2 linked regions of the Oryctolagus cuniculus genome follow. The protein of the gene in region 2 interacts with the protein of the main gene of each other region in a biochemical or structural test. Links are inferred from orthologs where the notes say so. Each region holds a gene or a part of one and is shown on either strand. Other genes may lie near its edges.

Region 1 (4,472 bases), on a different chromosome or scaffold from region 2:
CTGCAAAGGGGCTGCTTCTCCTGGGACATCTCTGCAGGGTCTGTGTTAGCAGGATCTCACCCACTGTGGTGCTGGTCTGTGCACTTGGCCTTCGGCAGCAGGTGCACCACCCCACTCCGCCCTGACAGACCCAGTCTCAGACACCTCCCTGCTGGCGCTTTCCTGGGGAAAGCCTCTGTGCCCTAGTTGCTCTAGAGAAGCAGTTTTGGCCTCGCTGAGAGCCCACACACACCCACACACAGCATTACCGGAGCGTTCCCACAGTGCTGTCTGATCCATCGCTATGTTTCCATCCCGGGGATAAACCCCGGGCATGTGTGTCTGACCCATTTTGCAACAAGGGCAGAGAGGGACCAGAACATTCCTGTAAGCTTACCCAGACCCAGCAGGGAAACTGGGCTTGCCCAGAACTGACTGGCAAGTCAGAGCCAGGCTGGCTGCTTAGACAGCTGGGTGTGAAAATGTAAACCTTCTGGGACCTCCCCAAGGCTGATGAATGGAAACAAAGTGTCCGGTGCTCAGGCTGGCTACAGATTCAGCCCCACCCGCCCCATCCCCAGCAGAGACTCAATTCAGGGCGCAGGCCCACCCCAGACACCTCTGTCCCCAGGGGCACTGGAAGCCCAACATCAGAGCACACAACAGTGGCACTGCTCAGACAGCGACCCCCTCATCTAAGAGAAGGCGGGGCAGAGGTGTTAAGTGGCAGCTGCTGAGGCTGGAGCCAGCTTCCGCTCAGCTCCGGGGAGGCCCAGACCCTCCCCTGCCCCATCCAGGCGCCCTGGCCTCATCTCAGGTCTGGGGAGGATTGTCTGTTCCGTGCTGCCTGCGCTTAGAGGGGCCAGATCAATTCTCCCCAGTGAAGCCGCCCGCTGAGCTGCCCACCACCGCCATCCCCATAGCCACCCAGGAAGGCAGCCTCAGTGGGTGAGCCTGCTTGCCCGAGGGCTGTGTCCCCAGCAGCTCCCTGTAAGTCCCTGGTTGTTTCTTTCCCTGTCACCTTGGATCTGGGGCCAGTCGGTACCCCAGGCCTGCAGGTCGGTGGAGCCCCACTGTTCTGGGAGAGGCTGCAACCTCCTCAACTCTCCCGTGCCTCTGGCTGCCCTGGGCCTGCATCCCACCTGCCCTTCTCTCTCTGACAACTGCTGGGCCCAGCAGGGCCTCTCAGGGCTGAGCCAGACTGGGGGAAAGGAATGGGCTCATCAGGGAGGAGGCTGGATAAATGAATGTTTGGCTCATGAACTTGAGGTGCTGGGAGTTGCTGCTTCCGAAGACCTCTGAGGCTGGCATGCTCAGGTAAGGAAACACCTGCCCATGGTATTTCCACATCTCTTGGTCTCCCAGGGAGGTTGCCACAGCATGGAGCCCAGAGGTAAGCAGCCCAGCTTTGGCAAGAGAGGCAGGCTCTCGAGATCTCCAGTGCCTCACGTGTTACAAAAGATTTGTTACATTTCTTACATGGAGGCCTAAGGGTTGCTTCTAATTCCTGGGTCACAGAAACTGCCTAGTTCTACATCCCCCAGGTTTGGGATGGTGGGGGCAGGACTGGCACACACTAGGTGTTCAGCAAACAGTCAAATAATCACACATATTACTGTAAAGAGCTTTGTAAACATTATATATGAGAATACTGCAGAAATTTCAAAGAAATGTTTATTTGGGTGCAAAAAAATGTGAAATGCATGCATATGAGGGGTCTTCAAAAAGTTGGTGGAAAATGCGTATTATGAAAATTCTATGGCTGGATTTCAGTTTTTTTTTTCTGCACCAAAAAACTCTTTTCTTTAAATTCCATTTTCCACCAACTTTTTGAAAGCCGCTGCATGTAGGGATCCATGTGAGCACTTATCCCAACAGCCCCACAAACTCCTGCAGAAAGACAGCTTTAGCAGAAGCAACGTATGTTTTGGATGTATTCACAAAGATGCCATCTACTTTCTTATTCAGTTTTTTGAGAAAAAAAAATTTCAAACTAAAATCAGAGCAAGAACACCAATGATAAATACTATACCCCAGGGTCCAGGCCCCAGAGCCAACCACAGCAGCTCTGGACTGCCAGTACTCATTCCTGAAGGGCAGGAAAAAGCTGAGGGGTGCCCCTGCCCCAACCCCAGGGGGTGCACATTGGGGACAGCAGGGTCGGCTGGAGAGGCTTTGGAGTGTGACAGAAACAGATTCAAATTCTTCATCTGCCACTTCTTAGTCATTTCAATAGCGCGCCTCCGTGTAGCTGGCTCGGAAATGGGCTCAGCAGTGCCTGCGAGATGATTCACCGGGACTGCCCTGTCCGCCCCCAGGGACTGTAGGGTGGCGGAGGAGGTTTGCGAGTTCCTGGAGTACTAGTGTCCCTGGCTTCCCCCGCTGTGGGCCAGAGCTATGCTGAAGGGCCAGGAGGTGGCTTGGTTCCGCCCACATCTGCACCACTCACCGGGGAGCCTGGGACGGCCAGGCCATTAGAAGGCTCGGGAGGAACTGGATTCCAGAGCCAGGCCTGGCGGCGAAGCTGGCCTGGGGGGTGAAATGTCATGCCGGATTCTGAGAGTCACCAGACCCGACCCACAGTCCCGGGAGAGCGCTCAGCTCCTGCCCCTCCCTGAGGTCTTGCGTGAGGACCTCCAGGGAAATGCCTGCCCACTTCCCGCAGGCCCGCTCCCTACCCACGCACGGCCCCCGGCCGGCCCCTGGCGGGCCTACCGCAGGCCCGCTTCACTGCACGGCAGGGGCCCTAGGCCAGGGGCCCCCGGGGGCCAGCCCCAAGCCCCCAGCTCCCGGGCCCTGGCGCTGACTCACCCCCGCTCGCGGGTCCCGGCGGCGCCGCGGCCACCTGGCCGGCGGCAGGTGCGGCAAAGCCTTCGTCGTTCTCGATGCCCGCGATCTCGCTCTCCTGCTGAGCCAGGAAGGCGGCCGCCGGGTCCTCCTCAGCCGCCCCGCTCTCGGACGGCGGGAAGAAGCCGAAGTCCTCAGCCATCTTCCCCGGTGCCTGCTGCAACCGTACCTGGCGCTGTCACCCGAGCCACCGCGGGACCGGCCTCGGCGCGGCGGCCCCGACTTCCTCTCTCCGCCACCGGGCCCGGCGCGCCTGTCACTGCGGCTGCAGGCGCCGCGGCGGGAGGAGCCGGGAGCGGGAATGTGGTGATGTCACCGGCCGAGGGAGGGGGCCCGGGACGGCCCGGAGGTCGCCTCGCGACGGCCACAGGAGGGCGGCAGCAGAACGGCGCCGGAGCGCCTGGGGGCCCGGCGGGCTGGCTCCTGGCTCCTCGGCCGGCCGCGAGCGCGTTTCGCTCTGGTGGGGTCGGTCGGCGGGGCGCACGGCGCAAAGTGGCCGCAGGGCGCGCTGGGCCGCGGCCGGCCTGCGCAGAGTTCGCTCAGGACTCGTTCGGCCAAAGCCCTCTAGCCTCGGCGGGGTCGGTGTTGGGAACCCTACCACCTGCGCCTGGAGGTTGGGAAGGAGGCTGGCAAAGCCTTCGCCGCGTCGCTCCCAGCACGGCCGTGTCGCTTTCGTGCTTTTGCCCTCCGTGTCTCTTCCTTGGAGGAGGCGCCCGCTCTTAGGACCAGCGCGGCCCCTTCGACGGCCTTTGGGTAAGAAGTGCTGGAGAAAGGCACACTTAATTTATCCAGGCAGGCTACTGGGCCACGCTCGGTAATCTGTCCCTGAATGTCACCTCTCTACCTCTGCTTTGCCAGGTACCAGGGCGATCCCAGGCTAGCCAGACGGACTCACGGCAAAGCAGGCAGACTTTTAAACACAAGACTTTGGGAGACCAGAGCAGCACCATGGAATTTCGGTTGTTTATCATCATCAACATCATCATCATTATCATCATCATTGTTATTAAATTGAAAACCACAGAGAGCGGGAAATCTCTCATCAGCTGGTTCACTCCCCAAATGCAACAGCAGGCAAGGGGCAGGCAGAAGCCAGGAGCAGGGGAACCCAATGCAGGTGGATGGCAAGGACCCAGCTACTTCAGCCATCACTTGCTTCCTTTCGGGTGCACACGGCGGGAAGTTGGAACCCCGGAAGAGCTAGGACCTGAATCCAGGCACTCCAATGTGGGATGGAGACATCTCAGGCAGCAGCTTAACCATGAGGCCAAGAGCCTACCTTATGGCAACGCAGTTAAACCGCTGGTTCTCGTACTGGCTGCCCCACATCCAATCCAGCTCCCTGGGAAGGTGGAGCCTAGGAAAGTGGGCTCCCTGCCCCTCATGTGGAAGTCAGGCTCCTGGCTTTCCTACCTGGCCCAGCCCTGGCAGCTGCAGCCATCTGGGGAGTAAACCAGTGAATGAAGATCCCTCTCTGTCCATCCCTTGTCTCTGTAACTCTCCCTTTCAAATAAATAAATAAATCTAAAAACAAAGCAAAACATTAGGCCACATGCTAGCCCCTCTATTTCTGATGTGAGACTTGAAGGTTGACTTTGAGTTACGCACCAGAACAGAGAAGGCAAAGCTGTGCCCCAAGCTGTGAG
Region 2 (3,852 bases):
ACATCCGGGGGTCGACTTCCAGACGGACCCCTTCCAAGCCTTCCGGCTGCTGTAGGATCCCTGTACCATTTCCACAATGGCAGCAGTCGTCATACCCACTCCAGGGGCCTGCTGCACGGGTGACATGAGACAGTGCCCATCTCCCTCTGGGTGCCAGGCACTCCGGAAATTGGTGGCACCCCCTCATGGGAGGTTCATTCACGGAAAGCTTAGCGGGCGCCTTGGGGAAGGTCCCAGGTTGCTCCCTCGCTGGAGGGGCCCAGACCACCCCCCGAGGTGTGAGCACCTGCCTCTGGCACCCCCCGGGCCTGTGGCTGCCAGGGTTCCGTGCACACAAGCCCAGGTGCCAGGTGGACAGGGTGTGGAAAGGGCGCACAGCCTGCTCCACCTGCTGTCACTGCCCATTGCACCTGCACAGAGATGGGGCCAGAGCCCTTCCCTGCCTGGGGACTCCCCAGTTCAGGTTCCCCAGCTTCCGCAGGGAGGTACAGTAGAACCGGCTTCTCGGTCCTGGAGGTGCGTTTGGAAAACTGTGCTTTTTTTTTAAAACAGGAAATGCTGAGCAAATCCCGTGCAGGAGACACAGGCGTGAAGCTGGAGGTGAACGAGAGGTTGGTCTGAGCGGCGGTGGCACCCGTGTGGGCAGGATGAGTCTCGCTGGCCGGGGGCTGTGCTCTGCAAACCCGTTCAGGGGTCAGAGGGAACTGAGCTGCCCCGGGGGCGACAGCATTGACGGTGACAGTGAGGTCGCTTCGCCTGCCTTGCTGTCCTTGGGGCTCCCACGTGCCCGCGGCCCTGACTATCTGCTTTGCTTCTCCCAGGATCCTCGGCTCCTGTACCGGCCTGATGCAAGCCATTCAGGTCCTGATTGTGGCCTCCAAGGACCTCCAGAGGGAGATCGTAGAGAGCGGCCGGGTAGGCATGCAGGCTGGGCCCGCAGGTGGGGAGCGCAGGTCTGACTCCATGATCCCTGGGGTCTAGCGGCACTGATGTCTGGTCCTGTGAACCCCCCGTGGGCGAGCCACCCCTTCTCGTGATCGGTCATCAGCCTGGGGGTCGGGTGGTCTGGGTTGGTGAGTCGCCGCTGTGACCCAACCGGGGAAACCTCTTTTTTTGTTTTGTTTTGTTTTGTTTTTTAAAAAAGACATTTATTTATTTGAAAGGCAGAATTACAGAGTGAGAGAGAGAGAGAGACAGATCTTCCATCCACTGGTTCACCCCCCAAAATGGCCACGATGGCCAGGACTGAGCCGGGACAAAATCAGGAGTCTGGTACTCCATCCAGGACTCCCACAGGGGCCAAAGCACTCTGTACCATGTCCCCGCTGCCTTCCCAGGCGCGTCAGCAGGGAGCCAGATCGGAAGTGGAGCAGCCAGGACTTGAACTAGTGCCCACATAAGATGCCAGCTTGGCAGGTGGTTGCTTAACTTGCTGCGTCACAACACCGGCCCTGGGAACCCTCCTTACACGGCACTTCCAGGCCCTCTGAGAGGAACAAGGGCTTCTGGAACCTGGGCAGATGGACACGCATGCCTGGGACCGACATTTCCCGGGAGTCTGGCCATGTCTGCTTCCATCCGAGTCCGCTCCCTGCTGTCTCTCACAACCAGCTCTGCCGTCGCTGGGCTGTTGGTCCCTGCCTGGCCCAGTTTGTCTCTCCCTCTAGGAAGGGGCCCAGGGAGGGAGCCAGCAGCTGTTTCTGCTTTGGGGGTGCCCCCTGATCCATCTGGGCCTGGCACACTGGCAGACACTAACAAAGCCTGAGAATGTTCTGGAACTTCAAGTAGACATAATGCTTTGTAAATTATTCATCGCGTCCTCCCATCTTTTGGGAAATGGTGGAAAGCAGCTAGACTCGCCCCAGATCATAACTGACTCATCGCTGAGTATGTGAGTTCTGATATCTCGGTTCCTCTTGAAACCCACTGTGGATTAGTGCCAGGACACCTTCCCCGCCACCCCCCGCCCCATAGAAATGCCAAGTTGCTTATATAAAATGGCATCATATTTGTACATAATCTGCACGCTCCCTTTCATAACTTTTGTTTTTATGATTTATTCATTTATTTGAAGGGGAGAAAGAGATCTTCCATCCACTGATTCACTCCCCCAAAATGGCTACAGTGGCCAGGACTGGGCCAGGCTGAATCCAGGAGCCAGGATCTCCATCCGGGTCTCCCATGTGGGTGGCAGGGGCCCAGGTACTCCGGCCATCCTCCACTGCTTTCCCAGGCCCATTAGCAGGGAACTGGATTGGAAGTGGAGCAGCCGGGACTTGAACCAGTGCCCCAATGCTGGATGTCAGCATTGTAAGCGGAGGCTTAGTTTGCTGCCTAACATTACCAGTCCCCTCCCGTAAACTTCAAATCCTCTCTACATGACTTAGGCCAAATACAGTGTCAGTGCTATGGAAGCAGCTGCTCCTACTGTATGGTTTAGGGATTACTGACAAGAGGAAAAAAATATTCCCACCCCCGCCAACTAATTCTGAGCAGTGTTTTGTTGAGTCCACAGAAGTAGGGGACTTATGGTAGGAAGATTGAGGTAGAGTAGACATGCCCAGGACTGACAGTGTGCAGTGCCCCCCGGGGGGGAGCACAGTCGCCTCTCTGGGTCTTGGTTTTCTCCCCTGAGCAATGGGACGGGACCACTGGTTCCCTCCCTGAGTTACTGCCAGGACCAGCCAGGACCACCCAGGACCCGTCAACCGAAGTGGTAGACCCAGAGCAGGCGCTCGGTAAAAGGTGACCCCTTCTTTCCTTTCCCCTCTCAGGGCACTGCGTCCCCTAAGGAATTTTATGCCAAGAACTCTCGCTGGACAGAAGGGCTCATCTCAGCCTCCAAAGCGGTGGGCTGGGGAGCCACCGTCATGGTGTAAGTGGCTACAGCGCCCGGTCCCCTCCCTCGGTCCCGCTCCCTTGACCCATAGTCCCCTGGAAGGGAACTGTTGTTGGTAAAGACTGAAGGCTTCACAGGGAAGCTGGAGTTGACAAGGACGGGGCTGGCATTGTCCCCTTCTAGTCTAGACAGGGCCAACGGGAGGGGCTGCAGGGGTTGGGTCCTGAGCTGCCTCTGACCTGGCCCTTGTCACATTCTTTCCTGTCAGGGACGCAGCTGACCTGGTGGTGCAAGGCAGAGGGAAATTCGAGGAGCTCATGGTGTGTTCACGCGAAATTGCTGCTAGCACAGCCCAGCTGGTGGCTGCATCCAAGGTAGGACCCCGTGGCTCAACCCCCGGAGCCTGGGGACCATCTGCACAGTGCAGCTGGCCTCGACAGTCAAGGTGGTGGGGTCTCACACACAAAGCGTGCCTCCCCGGGCTCCCACGCCATTCTCCACTAAAGGCATCTGGTCTGTTGCCAAAGAGCCCCCGTCCCCAGCTCCCCACGCGAGGGTCCCAGCCACGCCAGCACCTGATTAGCAGCCCCGACAGACATTCAAGGAGCGATGGAACCAGGACACCTGGTTTGGCTCCCATTCCAGAACGAGCATCTGCCCCTCCCTCCTTCATCTCTGAACTTGAACACTGCCCCCCTCCCCGCCCCCTCCCAGCGCCCCACCCAGCCACTGGTCTCACCACACCTGTAGCCAGCTCAGATCCCAGCAAGGGCTCTTAAGTCTCCTTATCTCTGATGGTCCCAAATGGGTTTTCACAACTAGAACAGGTGATCCAAATTGGTGACAATGCCAGTGCCTGGGGCCCACCGAGCCGATGGGCCAGGAACGTTTGTTATGTTATAGACATGCCAGGAGCTGACCCCGTAGGCAGCCGTTTGCGAGACGTTGGTGGGTGATGATGTGGATTGTGAGTGTGAACCTAAGTCTACTCTGTCATGGCAGGTGAAAGCCGA

What was found. The genes of interacting proteins can lie anywhere in the genome.
Region 1: the proteins of HIP1 (region 2) and CLTB form a complex in vitro, tested with the Homo sapiens proteins (2 studies listed by BioGRID, with this or other methods). The link is inferred for Oryctolagus cuniculus from reciprocal best matches to the Homo sapiens genes HIP1 and CLTB.

The regions. Positions count from the first base shown.
Region 1 is NC_091437.1:62,417,368-62,421,839, forward strand, and holds the start of CLTB (clathrin light chain B), read right to left. Parts: upstream 3,133-4,472; 5' UTR 2,969-3,132; coding exon 2,791-2,968; intron 1-2,790. UniProt on the Homo sapiens protein: Clathrin is the major protein of the polyhedral coat of coated pits and vesicles.
Region 2 is NC_091450.1:50,706,479-50,710,330, reverse strand, and holds part of HIP1 (huntingtin-interacting protein 1), read left to right. Parts: intron 1-552; coding exon 553-611; intron 612-821; coding exon 822-915; intron 916-2,774; coding exon 2,775-2,875; intron 2,876-3,107; coding exon 3,108-3,213; intron 3,214-3,841; coding exon 3,842-3,852. UniProt on the Homo sapiens protein: Plays a role in clathrin-mediated endocytosis and trafficking. Involved in regulating AMPA receptor trafficking in the central nervous system in an NMDA-dependent manner. Regulates presynaptic nerve terminal activity.